Lonchura striata: one gene and its partner. The protein of the gene in region 1 purifies or fractionates together with the protein of each later gene. This does not show direct contact. Links are inferred from orthologs where the notes say so. Each region holds a gene or a part of one and is shown on either strand. Other genes may lie near its edges.

What was found. The genes of interacting proteins can lie anywhere in the genome.
Region 2: the proteins of CAPZB (region 1) and PPP1CA purify together in Homo sapiens (affinity purification with mass spectrometry; 3 studies listed by BioGRID and IntAct, with this or other methods). This does not show direct contact. The link is inferred for Lonchura striata from reciprocal best matches to the Homo sapiens genes CAPZB and PPP1CA.

What each region holds. Positions count from the first base shown.
Region 1 is NC_134626.1:7,422,557-7,429,532, forward strand, and holds the start of CAPZB (F-actin-capping protein subunit beta), read right to left. Parts: upstream 3,082-6,976; 5' UTR 2,968-3,081; coding exon 2,965-2,967; intron 1-2,964. UniProt on the Homo sapiens protein: F-actin-capping proteins bind in a Ca(2+)-independent manner to the fast growing ends of actin filaments (barbed end) thereby blocking the exchange of subunits at these ends.
Region 2 is NC_134608.1:53,829,299-53,837,002, reverse strand, and holds PPP1CA (serine/threonine-protein phosphatase PP1-alpha catalytic subunit), read right to left. Parts: upstream 3,042-7,704; coding exon 2,987-3,041; intron 2,502-2,986; coding exon 2,370-2,501; intron 2,286-2,369; coding exon 2,055-2,285; intron 1,850-2,054; coding exon 1,745-1,849; intron 1,658-1,744; coding exon 1,434-1,657; intron 995-1,433; coding exon 860-994; intron 738-859; coding exon 627-737; 3' UTR 556-626; downstream 1-555. Other genes in the region: cell cycle checkpoint control protein RAD9A, read left to right, coding at 1-153, 226-324; CARNS1 (carnosine synthase 1), read left to right, coding at 3,040-3,145, 4,338-4,784, 4,891-4,984, 5,145-5,238, 6,375-6,652, 6,805-7,067, 7,433-7,522. UniProt on the Homo sapiens protein: Protein phosphatase that associates with over 200 regulatory proteins to form highly specific holoenzymes which dephosphorylate hundreds of biological targets.

The sequences.
Region 1 (6,976 bases):
CCCTTCCAGATCAAACCATTCCATATTCTCTGATGTACCAACAGCACACTGGACCAGCAGAGCACTGGGGAGTGCTGGATGATGATGAGCAAACCGAGTTCCCCAGCCATCCTTCACCCAGGGAAGTCAAGGGATGGATGGAAAGCAAAGCTGACAGCTGTGCAAGTAGACATTGAGAAGGGCAGCATGGTCTCTTTCCCAAAGAAAGTAATTTCTCAACTCAACTCCAGTAATAAGGACTAAAAATAGGCCCCCAGAAGAGCTGAGCTGCACTTTCATTCTGTTTCACTCCCAGATGTGAATTAGTCTCATATCAGCATATATATTTACCATATGAGGAAATCCTGTTTGAACAACTTCAGCTTGTGAATGTTTTTGCCTCCCTAATAAACCACAAGATTAAGCATCACTGCAATGGCAGTATTCCCTCTCCCAGTGATATCCTCTGATTTGATTATTTTGGGAATTTGCCGTTTAAGATAACATTTAGTTAAGCTCACACACTTGGCTTGCCTAATAAAACACAGACTCTACAAAACAGCTGAAGTTGGTGTTTCTCAAAAGGAACAAGGTGCAAAGGACTTGCTGTGGGTACTGAAAACGTCCCCACACCTCCACAGCACATTTTGGAGGTCCAAGAGGGATACAGCCAGGTTAGAGATGGGTTCTGATTCCAGACAAACAACTCCTATCCTGAAAATCTTAGTGGACCCTGAGCAGCACACGAGGTGCGTGTTGGTGTCACTGTCACATCACACACCTTGGGCTGTGCTTCACTGCTCCATATCTGCCTCACAAATCCTAGATGGATGATGCACAGCCAGCACTACACTAGACAGCCTGAATTTATGGATGATTAAATCATAAATTTTGTTAAAATTGTCCTCCTTTTTCTCAAGAGTTGCATAGCAGAAGAAATCCTTGCTAACACGATCAGGCCAGTTTACATAACCTGGAAATGAAGGGTTTTATTTTTACAAAGAGTAACTGGATTCCATCCATTCACAACCCACAATTCCAGAAATCTCAGCAGATCCACTCTCCCAAGTCCTGCTTTGCCCTGAACAGAGCATTCCATTTATTTTTAGCACAGGAGACACCATCCATCCAGGCAGTTTTCAAGCTTCATGTGTTGCCCTGCCCTGTTTCCCTGAGCACCTGACTGAAATGTGGGCACAGCTCCGAGCTCTCCGAGGAGACCAAGGTTCCCAGCTCTGCTCTACACAGACATTGGTAGCCCTGTGGTACCATGAAGGTGTCTCACCCAATATCCTGCACCATACCAACTGCTCCCTTCAATGAAAGGGCCATTCCACCCTTTCAACGCTCCACTTCTGGTCTCAGACCATTAAAAGTAAAGATCCTGCAAGCACCCTACACGCTGGGTTTGCACATGAGTTGAAACTGGAGGCTGCAGGTTCATCCCTGAAGTCCACTCAACATTGGAAACCAGCACATAGTGTTGGAAGTTCTGATCCAATTTCTCCTATGCCCAGTGGTTTGCACAACTAAACATGAAAAAAAACAGAAAGCAGCAAAACCCGGTAACAGTCAGGAAATTTCCAAAGGATTTGTGCTGTACCTCCTCCAAACTACTGACACAGTTACATTTAAACCCTGACTGGATTTTCCTAACAGCACGTTTTATATCCCATTCAAAGAAGTTGGTACCACTGTTGTTACTTTCCATGAAGCCTCCTTGTTTTCTTTGAACTCTTTTCCTGTGACAATTTTTGCAGTGGCATAAGTTAGGACAGTTTGTTGGAATCCCAGTTTGAGACTCTACAGTCAGGTCTTGCACACACAGATTTCAGTGTGTTACAATTAGGTACACAGCTGGAATAAGATGCTCCATCCTGCCAGGACTCAGGTATGGCACCTGCTCTTGTTTGAACCAATAAGGAACAGAACTTTGGTCATAACTGTTCTTCACCTTTCACCTCACATTAAAGATCTTTATCCTGCATGATACAGGTGGCTCCAGCTCCAGAGAAAAAACATAAGGCATCGCCTCTGAAATTCCTATGGATGACGGCAAGAAGTAAAGGATTACACTCGTGTGGTTAAACAGACTTCACACTGCTGTAGAGCCAGGCTCTGGGTTGATCTTTTATGAACTAAACACATTCAAACATTGTTGAATTGTCATGTTGGAAAGCCTGAATCAGAAATCCCCAACAGCACAAAGTGATGTGATTCCCTACAAGTGACTCCATGGCTGAGGAGGCTCGGGAAGAGCCCCGGCCAGCAGGCAGGGAGCGGAGCAGGGCCTGGGCCCGCAGCTGGAGCGGCTCCCTTTGCACAGCACCAAAGTGGCACCGAAAGGGTTTGTGCCCCGGGCCAATCCGTTCGGGAAACACAGCGGGACGGAGATTATTCCACACGGCTGAGGCAAGTGGGGCTGGTCCGTGGGAAAGGCAAGTTCCCGGGCGTGCGGAGCAGCACCAGGGCTGCAGCAGCCGCTGCTCGGGCAGTGCCCGGCTCTCGGTGCCCCGCAGCGCTCCCGGTACCGCACGGGGGGAACAGCCGGCCTTCCTGCGGGGAGCCACGGCCGCCGGGCCCGCCGGGCAGCGCCCCCGGTACCGCTCCCCGCCGAAGCGGAACCGTTCCCTGGGTAATTCCACATCATTCCCTCTGCGAGCACCGCCCGGGACCGGCACCGGAGAGCTGGCAGTGACCGGGCAGCGGAGCCCCGGGGAGCCCCCCGCCCCCGGGCCCTGCGGTGCGCCGGGCAGAGCCTCCGCTAGCCTTAGCCCCCCCGCAGCAGCGCCCTCAGGCCGGGCCAGCCCTCCCCGCGTCCCGGCAGCACCGCCTGGGCCGCCCCTCCCTCCGTCCCCGCCGCCCGGGGGAGGCCGGGCGAGGCCCCCCGGTGCGAGGGGGCGGTGTGGGCGCGGGGGCTGCTGCGGGGGGGCCGTGCGGAAGGGCGGGGGCCGCGGCGGGGGCGCGGGGCCGGCCCGCTCTCACCATGTCGGCTGGGCGGGTGCGCGGGGCGGTAGAACGGCGGCGCCTCCCGGTCCGTCCCTGTCGCTTCGACGCCGCGGCCCGTCCGCTTCCGCCGCCGCCCGGCAGTGAACATCCGGGTCAGCGCCGCCGGCCCCGCCCCGCGCCGCTCCCCGCCAATCAGCGCGCGGCTCGCCGGCCATCGCCAAGTATGGATGCGCGGCGGCGGGGCGGGGGGGCGGGGCGGAGCGAACCACGCCACCGGCGCGGGGGGGACGGCGCGCACGGCGGCACCAACTGCGGCGCGGGGGTGAGCGCGGCGGCCAATCAGAGCGCGGGGGCCGGCCCGGGGCGGGGCCTGCGGGGGGCGCGCCCGCAGCGCGGGGCCGGCCCTCAGTCGGTCCCGGAGCCTCCGCGCGGGAACGTCGCTCCCTCGAGCGCCTTTAAACGCACTTGTTTTAGCTTTAAACGAAAGGCAGCACGAGGCAGGCGGGTAGCACGGCAGACGCCGCCCAGAAGAGGTAACGAGTAGCAAACTCGTAAAGCTGGGTTTTGCAAAGGTAAACTGCACTTTATGCATGCCTGTAAGGTACCAGGTCTAAAGTGATGTGGAAGAAGAAGCAGCCTCCAGCTGCTTAAGGCCAGGGATAATTATTAATTATTTATTATTTTAAAAGTAATCGTGAATTATTTTGAAAAGGAAGTGTTGGTGTTGGGAGGTACCTGCTGGAAGCCGTGCAGATGCTGACACACTGGAGGCCTTCAGGGCTCAGGCACTTGTGCCAGGGATAACGGGATCACAGAAAATCAGGGTATATCTACTAATAAAGCATTCCTGTTATACTCAGACTGTCTCAAAATAAAGCATTTGTTCCTTTTACTGGAGTAATTCCCATTGCAGGGATTTCAGGTAAGACATCCCAATTCCAGACTCCTGGCCTGTCCTCAATACGGGAATCTCAGAGCTACAGCAGACAATGATCCCAGGAAAATGTAAGGATTCGTTAGCACCAACAGCTTCCTCTGCAGCTTTTTATGGAATAGGTCAGGCCTTGTTTCACCCCAGTTTTATTACCAAGACCCCAAAAAACCTCCATTGGGACTCTGTACTGCAGACTTGGCCCTGGGGAGCCAAAAGCCTTTCCCTGGGTTTGCTGTAGGAGCTGGAAATGCCAACATGGGGTGAAAAAAGGGCTTTTTCCTTGGATGTCACAGACACAACAGTCACACAGGGCTTGTACCATGGATGTCACAGACTCTGCAGTCACGCAGGGCTTTTCCTGTGGATGTCACAGACAGCAGTCACACAAGGCTTTCCCTTGGATGTCACAGAGCTGTCACACAGGGCTTGTCCCGTGGATGTCACAGAGCTGTCACACAGGGCTTGTCCTGTGGATGTCACAGACTCTGCAGTCACACAGGGCTTGTCCTGTGGATGTCACAGACAGAGCAGTCACACAGGGTTTTCCCTTGGATGTCACAGAGCTGTCACACAGGGCTTGTCCCGTGGATGTCACAGACAGCAGTCACACAGGGCTTTTCCTGTGGATGTCACAGACACAGCAGTCACACAAGGCTTTCCCTTGGATGTCACAGAGCAGTCACACAGGGCTTGTCCTGTGGATGTCACAGACACAGCAGTCACACAGGGCTTGTCCTGTGGATGTCACAGACACAACAGTCACACAGGGCTTGTCCCGTGGATGTCACAGACACAACAGTCACACAGGGCTTGTCCTGTGGATGTCACAGACTCTGCAGTCACACAGGGCTTGTCCTGTGGATGTCACAGACAACCCCAATTTCCAGGGCAGTGAACAGCTTGGACGTGGATCGGGTTACAATAGCCAGAGACAAGACTGCACTACATGAATTTGCACCACAATGGAGCCCGTGCAGACAGAACAGCTCTCAGCGGTGGCAGAAACAAAATGAACCCGGAAGGGTGGAGAGAAAACAGTAGAACGATGTCAGGAGAAACAGGAACTGTATTCGTCCACAGAAACACAAAACCACATAAAACTCCATCAAGAGACAGTACCAAACAAACCCAAAGGTGGGAAATTACCCTTCCACATTTGGGAGAGAAGCCACATGACCTCAGAAGGCTCAAGAGACTCCAAATTCAGTTCTTTGCCACTATTCCTCAGCCTAACCTCCTTCAATCCGCTTTGTCAGATGGAGCAATCCCAAATGGCTCCTATTTTGCAGTTCCCAGATCCTCCTCCAGTCCTTGCATTTCCTCCCAGCTGCCTCCCAGCAGTAATTAAGAAAAGCAAACCTGTTCATTACAATGGCCAAATGATTCCATTTTTGTCCAGGGATCCACACATCTAATGCTCCTCAGGGCTGGGAGGCCAGAACTGATAAATTTGAAAATGTCTGTTCTAAAATTCCCTCTTTCTGTCACAAAATTCATGCAAAGTACTCAATGACAATTCTACTTGTAGCAGCTTTTAGTTTTGAACAGAAACAGCTCCTAGCTGCTTGCTGGAGCAGCACAGCAATAGCAGAATTAGGCAGCCCAGTATATTTCAAACAATTTGAGCTCTAAATGAATGTTGAGGCCAAGAGGATGTTTTTCTTAGCGGAAGAAATACAAGCATCCTGGATTTTGTTCTCCTGCAAATAGGTATAAAGAAGAATAAACAGCTGCTTTTTGTTTTCCCAAAAATATTTGCATTAAGAAGATCTGCAGATTCATTTTGAAATTGATGTCACATCTTTTTTCAAATGAGGACCAGCTGTTTGCTTTGGTTGTTTATAGCAGGCCATGTTTCAGGGATTTTTTGCTGTTTGTTTATTAAGATGTAGGACCAGACTGCTGCAGTTTGGTGTGGAGAGTGGATCCCAGCAGGCAGAAAGTCCATGAATGTCACCACCATCCCACTTGTGTTGGGATTTGTGGAGGGGTTGACACCAAATGCAGCAAAATCAGGGATATTCCATAATCCAAGTGCTGTGAGGTAGGTTCCCTGTGCCTCAGGCATTTCCCAAACCTGCAGGAATGGATCACCCACCTACAGGAAAGAACACTCCAAAGGGCTCGTGGCAGGAATAACCCCTCTCTAAAACAAGCATCTATAAACAAAGGAAGCAAACAATGATGTCAGTTGACATCTTAAGGGCCCAACAACATCAGATTCATGTGCAATTAATAACGAGTCTTTTGATCCTGCAATCAGCAGCTCTAAAATCCATGTGCTTTCCCTGTACATTTGATTACATTCGAGGAAGCAAAAGGATAAACACTTATTAGCATTACAAAGTACTTTTCACATTCAGCCAGAACTTCCTGAAGCATTTGTGATCCAGCACGATGTGGTTTTTATTTTATCCTCCTGCATGCGTGGTGAAACGCTATTTATTTGTTTATTCCAGCATTTATCCAGGACCAAGGGTGACTGTGAGAACATGCTGAGGAACAATGTCTGAGAGAAAACCTTCATGCTTCACTGAATAGTCATTTTTTGTCATAAAGAAAGAAACATCTTGATTTTTTTTTTTTTTTTTTTTTTTTTGTCAGATTGCCCATTTTCTTTCATGGCACTTGAAAGATATGTAAACTTTTATTGGGAGTTCTCATAAATTGAATTTATTGCTGCAAGAGTCTTCCAGCAATGGTAAAGTTTAGCTTGCTGGGTTTTATTAGTCAGAGTCAGTAAAACAGCAGCATCACTTGGTCTGAGGCTGAAAACCGAGTGTTTCTTGGAAACTAATATAGGAAAAAGGTACCTACAACACTACCCAATGTCTTGGAATTCTATGTTCAAACCACAGATAGTTCTCACTATGGAGATCTTGGTACACAGTGTCAAAATAGTACACAAACAATAAAAAGTCCCCATCCTGAATCCAAAGCAGCTTTGCTGAGTGTATTCTTGGAATTTAAAAATTTTTAGAGTTTCCCCATTTCCTGCATGAACTGATGAGTAATTCCAAATACCACGTTTAATGAAAAACAACATATCGCCCATTTAGTGTGAGGTTTGAGGCATTCCCCTCCCTGCACTAAGAATGTTGGACCAGACTTTTT
Region 2 (7,704 bases), on another chromosome or scaffold:
GAAACCAGCGAGGGGTGCTCTGAGGGGCCCCCCAGCCCCACCTTCTCCCTGCACATCCCCCGGCCAGCCAAGAGCAAACCTGAGGAGGAGGAGGAGGAGGAGGAGGAGGAGGAGGAGGAAGGAGCTGTGCCAGGGACCCCCCCGCACAAAAGGGTGAGGGATGGGTGTGCCTGGGGGCAGGGGGTGGGCAGAGCCTCCTCCTGAACCCTCCATTTTTCTCCACAGTTTCGCTCCCTGTTTTTTGGCTCGGTGATGACACCAGGGAGGCCTGGCCCGGCCACCACCCAGGAGGTGCTGGCGGAGGACAGCGATGGAGAAAGCTGAGCCCCGAGTCACTGCCAGCCCCAGCCTCCATCCAACCACCAGGACAGGCACCCCCCAGTGACCCATTACAAGTTTATTCCTCAAAAAAGCCTCCTGCCCCCCCCCTCTGCTGCCACCCCAGGGCTGGGCTCTGGGCTCCCCCCTCGCCCCAGCTCTACCTGCCCTGGGCCTGGATTTGCTTTGGTGGAGCGTGGCGGGAGGGGGGCAGGATCCTACAAATAAAAAAACGAGTCGAAAGAAAAGCGACCTGATGCTTGGGCGGGGGGCTGCGGGGCGTGGGCAGCACAGGGGCGGCTCCCAGCTCATTTCTTGGCTTTGGCAGAGTTTCGGGGAGGGGTGACGGGCCGTCCGGCGGGGTTCAGCCCGCTGAACTGCCCGTATTTGCCTTTGTTCTTGTCGGCCGGCTTCAAAATCTGCGGGGGAAGGGGGAAAGAAATCAGTGAGCTCCCACCCCGGCTCTCCACTGCCCTGGAGGGCAGAACTCCCTGCAGCCCTCCCGGCAGGAACTGGGGGTGTTTCCCCTCCCTGGGCTCACCTGGAAAGAGCACATGAGGGTCTCATCCACGCTCATCATGGCGCCGGCGTTGTCGAACTCGCCGCAGTAGTTGGGGGCCGAGAAGAGGGTGACGAGCTGGCGCTTGGCGAAGAACTCGTAGCCATCCTCCACCACCTGGGGGGGGGCACGGGGTTGGCAAAAATCCACCCCCCATGGCCACTATCCCAGTATTCCCAGTCCCCCAGGCTGAAATCCAGCCCTCTCTAGCAAGGTGAATGCTCCCTTCCCCGCAGCAAACAGCCAGCACTGGGACAAACACCCACTGCCCCAGGGCAAATATCCATCTCCAGAGCGATTATCCAGCCTCTGGGAGGAACAGCCACATCCCAGGGTGACTATTCATCCCCCCTGGGCAAATAGTTTGACATCAGAGCAAACACCCAAATGCTGAGGCAAATACCCAAATCCCAGGACAAACACCCCCAGAATTCCAACCCACACACTCCTGGGGTGCACACTGCCCTTGAAGGGGAAACACTCGGGGTAGAACCACCTGACACCCACTGGAGACCCAAACCCCCATGTCCCCAGTGTCTGGGGGTCCCGGTGGTACCTGGTGCGCCCGGCAGATGAGATCCAGGTCATGCTTGTGCAGGAATTTGGCCACCACCTCGGCCCCGAAAGTGAAGGAGACCCCACGGTCGTTCTCCCCCCAGCCCTGCACGTCCTTGTCGGGGTCGGACCAGAGCAGGTCACAGAGCAGCCCCTGATCCGGGACATCCGTGGGCCGCATGATCCGCCGGATCTGCTCCATCGACTGCAGGTCTGGGGACAGCCCTGCGGGAAAGGGGCACCCCAGAGCTCAGCAAGGAGACCCCAACCCTCCTCCAGCCCTCCCAAGCCCCTGGGAAGGGCCATTCCCACCTCCGTGGCAGCAGAAGATCTTCTCATCCACGATGGCAGCAATGGGCAAACAATTGAAGCAGTCGGTGAAGGTCTTCCAGAGCTTGATGTTGTATCTTCGCTTGCCTGCGGGGCACAAAGGGGGCTTGGAGGTGACCCAGGGGACAGCCTGGGGGTGGGCAGGAGGACACCGAGGAAGGGCAGGAAGACATGGTGGGGAGGGAAGGAGGTCACAGGTGGGGTCAGTGTGGGACAGCACTGGGATGACACCGGGAAAGGGGGAGCCCAGGGATGGCAGTGGGGTTTTGGGGGGCACAGCCCGGGCACTCACACTCATCATAGAAGCCATAGATGCGGTTGATGCTGGCACACTCGTGGTTGCCCCGCAGCAGGAAGAAGTTCTCGGGGTACTTGATTTTATAGGCAAGCAGCAGGCAGATGGTCTCCAGGGACTGCTTGCCCCGGTCCACGTAGTCGCCCAAAAATAGGTAATTGCTCTCAGGGGGGAAGCCCCCGTACTCAAAGAGCCTCAGGAGGTCGTAGTACTGCCCGTGGATGTCACCTGGAGGGGGGACACAGGCTGTGAGTGGCACCCTGCAGCCCCCCGCACCAGCCCAGTGCTGCCCAGCAGCCGTGCAGGCCTCACCGCAGATCTTGAGGGGTGCCTCCAGCTCCAGCAGGATGGGCTGGCTCAGGAAGATCTCCCGGGATTTGAGGCACAGCCCGCGGATCTCGTTCTCTGTCAGCTGCACGTTTTTCCCCGGCCGCGATCCTTGGACTGCTCCCAGCACAGAGAACAGGATCAGGGATCTCCAAGGGCTCGGGGACACCTACAGCACCCCGGGAACCCCTTCTCCAGCTGCCCCAGCCCTCCCTGCCCGTATCCCCCACGCCCTGCAGGCTCAGCTCCAGCCCCCAGACCCTTCGGGGCCCCCCAGTGCCCCTCCGCGGGGCACAGACCCTTTGGGAACCCCCCATTTCCCCCAGCCCCCTCCCGCGGGGCACAAACCCATTCGGTATCCCGCCTCATATCCCCCACATCCCCCGGACTCATCTCCGGCTGCCCAGGCCCCATGGGAACCCCCCAAAACCTTTCCCAGCCCTGACCCCCCCCCGAACCACCGCGGCCTAACCCGCCCCCGCCAGGCCCGGGCCGGGGACTCCCCCCGCGGCGTTGGGACGCGGCCCGAGCCGGCCGCGAGAGGTTCCGGGAGCGGAGGGAGGGCGTCCCGGCGCTCGGGGGGGCGGCGGGGGCCCGCTCACCCTCCAGGAGGCGGCTGATGATGGAGTCGAGGTTGAGCTTCTCGGTGTCCGCCATGGCCGCCCGCGCGCCGCCCCGCCTCGCGCGCCCGCCCGCAGCGGCCCCGCCGCGCGCCCGCCCCCTGCCGGCCCGGAGGAGTCGCTGCAGCCCGGCCGGCCCCGGTGCCCCGGGGGAAACGGGGACGGCGCGGCGGGGACACGGGCAGCAGCGAGCCGCGGGACACCGGCAACAGCGAGCCGCGGGGACACCGGCAGCAGCGAGCCGCGGGACACCGGCAGCAGCGAGCCGCGGGACACCGGCAGCAGCGAGCCGCGGCGGGGGCGCAGGGGCACGGGGACACGCTCCGCAGGGGGACATTCCGAGCAGGGAAAACGTGACACCCCGGGCAGAGGGACACCCCTGGCAGAGGGACATGTCCTGGGAAAGGGGACACCGCGGCAACGGGATATTCCCGGGCAAGGGGGACACCGCGGGCAGAGAGCCTTCGCTGGAAAGGAGAACGTGCCGGGCTGAAGGACTTCCCTGGAGCGGAGGACGTCCTGGGAAAGGGGACATCCTGGGAAAGGCGACATCCTGCGTTGTTCTCTACAACCCGGGCAGGCGGACACGCCGGGCAAGGGATAGAGCTCGGGCAAGGGGACACGGGGGACATGGACTCGTATCCTGGCCTGGGGGCACAGGGATAGGGAGGGAGTGGGAGGGGAACAGCCTCAGGATAGACAGAGGTTCCCGGGACTGCGAGGGACAGGAGGGGACACAGAGGGAACCGAGGATCTGTATCCCGGTCCTGGGCGCGCAGGGACAGCCTGGGGACCCGGGAGGACACGAGGGGACAGGATGCTTGGTAGAGCCCAGGGATATCCCCACCCGGGGACTCTGGGGACACCGTCGGGAGCAGCACCGGGCGGTTGCCGGGAGATTGTCGCCACGCTGAGGTCCCCGGGGACACCCCGAAGGGCGTGTCCCCACCGGGGACACGGGGGAGGGTGACACATTTGTGCCACCGCTCGTGGACGGTGGCAGTGGCAGGGATGGGGTCATGGCTGTCCCTTGTCCACACTGGCTGTGCCATGCCTTGCCACGCCGTGCCATTCCCTGGGTGCCATTCCCAGGGTGCCACGCCGTGCCACGCCATGCCATTCCCCGCGTCCCATTCCATGTCGTGCGGGGAGGTCGCGAATAGCTCCCGGGACCTGCCCTGACATTTCTGCTTCGCGGTGTCAGTTTTACACCCGGCCCCGGGTGACCCCGGGCTGGCCCCGTCCCTGCCTCCGGACGCTTGTCCCCTACCCCCGTCCCTATCCCCGTCCCTTGTCCCACTCCCTACCCGAGTCCCTTGTCCCCGTCTCCCAGCGGTGGCACCCCGGTTCCGCCACCCTCACCTCCGCTGCCCCCTTTGTTCTGCCACCCCCTTCGGTGTCCCGGTCCCCCCGGTGCCCCCGGTCCCGCCCCGCCCCGCCCCGCCCGAGCAGGACACGGCACCGCCGCCACCGCCGGGACCGGAGCGGGCAGAGCCGCTGCTGGGGCTGCGACAGCACCGGGACCGACACCGGGAAACCCCACCAGACCCCGACACCGCCGGGACCGGAGCGAGCAGAGCCGCTCCACTGCCGGGTGCGACAACACCAGGACAGACCGGCACCGACAGACACCGGCACCGGCACCGGTGGGTGCTGAAGGCAGCGGGGGTGATCTGGGTGGGCTTGGGGGTGCCGGTGCCGGGGGGCGGGAGCAGCGGGATGGGGGTCGGGGTGCGTGTGCACACCTGCGACACGGTGCCGGTGACAGCGCAGGTGACAGGTGGGTGATGATGTTCACGACACGGTGAGGGTGACAGGGTGCAGGTGACGGTGCGGTGACATGGTGCGGGTTATGGGGTCTGGGTGGCAGTGCGGGTGACAGGTAGGTGATATGAGTGACAAGTGGCGGGTGACAGATGCAGGTGACAAGGTGCCGGCGATGGTGCGGTGTCGCCGTGTGGGTGACGAGGTGTGTGACAGGTGCGGGTGACAAGACCCTGGTGGTGGTGCAGGTGACGGTGCGTGGTGGGTTGTGTGTGACAGGGCGCACGTGACAGTTCAGGTGACAATGAGGGTGGCAGGGTGCAGGGGGTGGCGCGGGTGGCAGGCAGCGGGTGACAGCGCGTGCAGGACTCTGCAGCACGGCAGCCGCGCTGGTGGCCCCGTGCCTGCCGGTGGCCGTGACGGTGACAGTGACAGTGACGCCGCGGGCAGCTGGAACTAAGCCGGGGGACGTGCGTGCTGGCAGCTCCGCCACGCTGGGGACAGGGGGACAGGGCGGGGGGGAGGACGAGGGGCGTGCCCAGCCAGGGGACGCGGGACAGGGGGACAGGAGAGCCCGGCCAGGCTGATCCTCCCCCCGGCTCCCGCTGAGGCAGCTCGCTACTGACGGGGACAGGGACACGGACAGGGGTGCCAGCGCCTGGCGCGAGGTGGCAGAGGGGACAATGAGGCTCTGTGTCGCCTAATCCGGGGCACGGGGCCGGGGGTTGGCACCCCGGGGTGGCGCGGGGGGGTTTAAAGGCCAGACCGGCCGGCGTCCCCTGTGCCAGGCGTCCCCGAGCCCTCGTCCCCTGCGAGCTCTCAGGCCACGGCTCCCACCCCAAGGTACCGGGCGACACAGCTGTCCCAGCTTGGGGACAGCAGCAGCACCTCCCAGCTGGGGATGGAGGGGGACAGCGCGGTCCCGCGGCTGGGGGGGCGCGGACCTTGAGGGACCCCCGTGACTGGGTTTTGGGGGGCCCTTGTGCCACGCCACCGAGCCGTGTGTCCCCTAACGCTGTCACCGGGTGCCAGGCTTGGGGATATCCTGGCTGCCAGCGGGCACCGCTCAGCTCCGTGCCTCAGTTTCCCTCTGTGCCCAGCTCTGCCGGGCACCTGCTGGGAGCGAAGGCACCAGGGGGGTGGGGACAACCGGTCCCTGGGTCTGCACCCCCAGGGCACCTTGGCACCCCCGGGATGGGGAGGTGCCCCCGGCTGTGCTGAGCTGGCACGGGATTACACTAAGCCGGAGGTGCCGGGGCCACCGGGGCTGGCACCGAGGGAACAACCTGAGGCCACCGTGACTGGCACCAAGGGGTCAATCTGGGGCCACCAGACCTGTCAAAGAGGGGACGAGCTGGGGCCACAGGGACTGGCACCGAGGGGTCAGTGCGGGGACACTGAGACTAGCGCTGAGGGGACAACATGAAGACAGCGGAGCTGGCACCGAGGTGTGCCCCAGGAAGGGTGCCAGGCTCTGGTGGGTGCTGCAGGACAGGTCTCTCCACGGGAGCTGGGCTTGGGGCTCCCAGCACCGGCCGGGGGCGGCCAGGGAGGGGTGGCAAGTCCCCAGGGAGCCGCGCTGACTCTGCCTGTCCTTCTCTTGCAGCCCCTCTGTCACCAGGATGGTGAGTGGCCCCCGGGTGGGGGGGTCCGGGCGGAGGTGGATGCCCCATCCCGGGATCCCGGCGGTGCCGGGCACTGGCGTGGGGCAGCGGGCAGCGCAGCGTGCTGTGCCCACCCGCCGCGTGACCCCGCGGGGACAAGGGGACGCTTTGTCCGGGAGCTGGCGGCCCCGGCGGCTGGCACTGCCCCGTTGTCCCCGAGGTGGTGGCGCCGTGCCCGGCGCCTGCAGCCCCCCAGCACCCCGACGCCCCCACCCCACGGGTGGGCAGCGGCGCCCGCTGTGTCCTGTGTCAGCCCCCCCGTGTACGCCCCGTGCCCACACGGGGTCTGTCCCCGTGCCAGCTCCGTGCCAGACCCGTGCCAGCCCCTTAACCCCACGCCAGCCCCATACCACCCCCTTACCCCCGTGCCAGCCCCGTGCCAGCCCTGTCCCTGCTCCCGCAGCTCTCGACGTCCCAGCCGAGCACGGAGCGGGTGCCCAGCCCGGAGGAGCAGGAGTGGGCAGGGCCCGAGGCGCTGTGCCCAGGCTGGCTGGAGGACGAAGCCCCCGATGGCGAAGTGCCCGGGGACAGTGGGGACCCCGACTGTGCCACCCACGCCTACGAGCGGCTCCAGAGCGCCCTGTGCCAGGAGGGGCTGCCCCCCACGCTGGACTGCTCCGCGGAGCCCCGCACGGGTTGGGGACACGGGGGGCACGGTGCCAGGCTGGGACACGGGGGTGGCAGGGACTGGGGTGGGGATGGGGGAATGGTGCCAGGCTGGGACACGGGGGTGGCAGGGACAGTGATGTGGGCTCGGTGCCAGGCTGGGACACGGGGCTGGCAGGGACAGCGATGTGGGCGCAGTGCCAGGTTGGGACACGGGGGTGGCAGGGACAGTGATGTGGGCGCAGTGCCAGGCTGGGATAATGGGGTGGCAGGGATAAGGGTGGCAATGGGGATATGGTGCCAGGCTAGGGACACGAGGAGTTTTGGGGTTCCCAGCCACACTGGGGTGCCAGGGTCCCGATCCCGGGGCTGTTAACCCTTCCCTTCCTGGCAGGATATGGCCCGCTGGACATGACCGTTTGCATCCTGGGCTCCCCCACCCCCTTCCTGCCTGTCCTGCTGGAGGGTGGCACCCGCTGCCCAGGTGGGTGTGGTCCTCTTGTCCTCACCCTACATGAGACACCCCTGAGCCAACAGCAGGGATCCCCACACCCGCCTGTGCTGCCTGACCAGAACTGTGAGGGAAACTGAGGCAGGGGAGGAGGGTGGCAGCAGCCCCCCGCGTCCCGTTAATCCCAGTACACACCAGTTCGGCAGCAAGTGCCT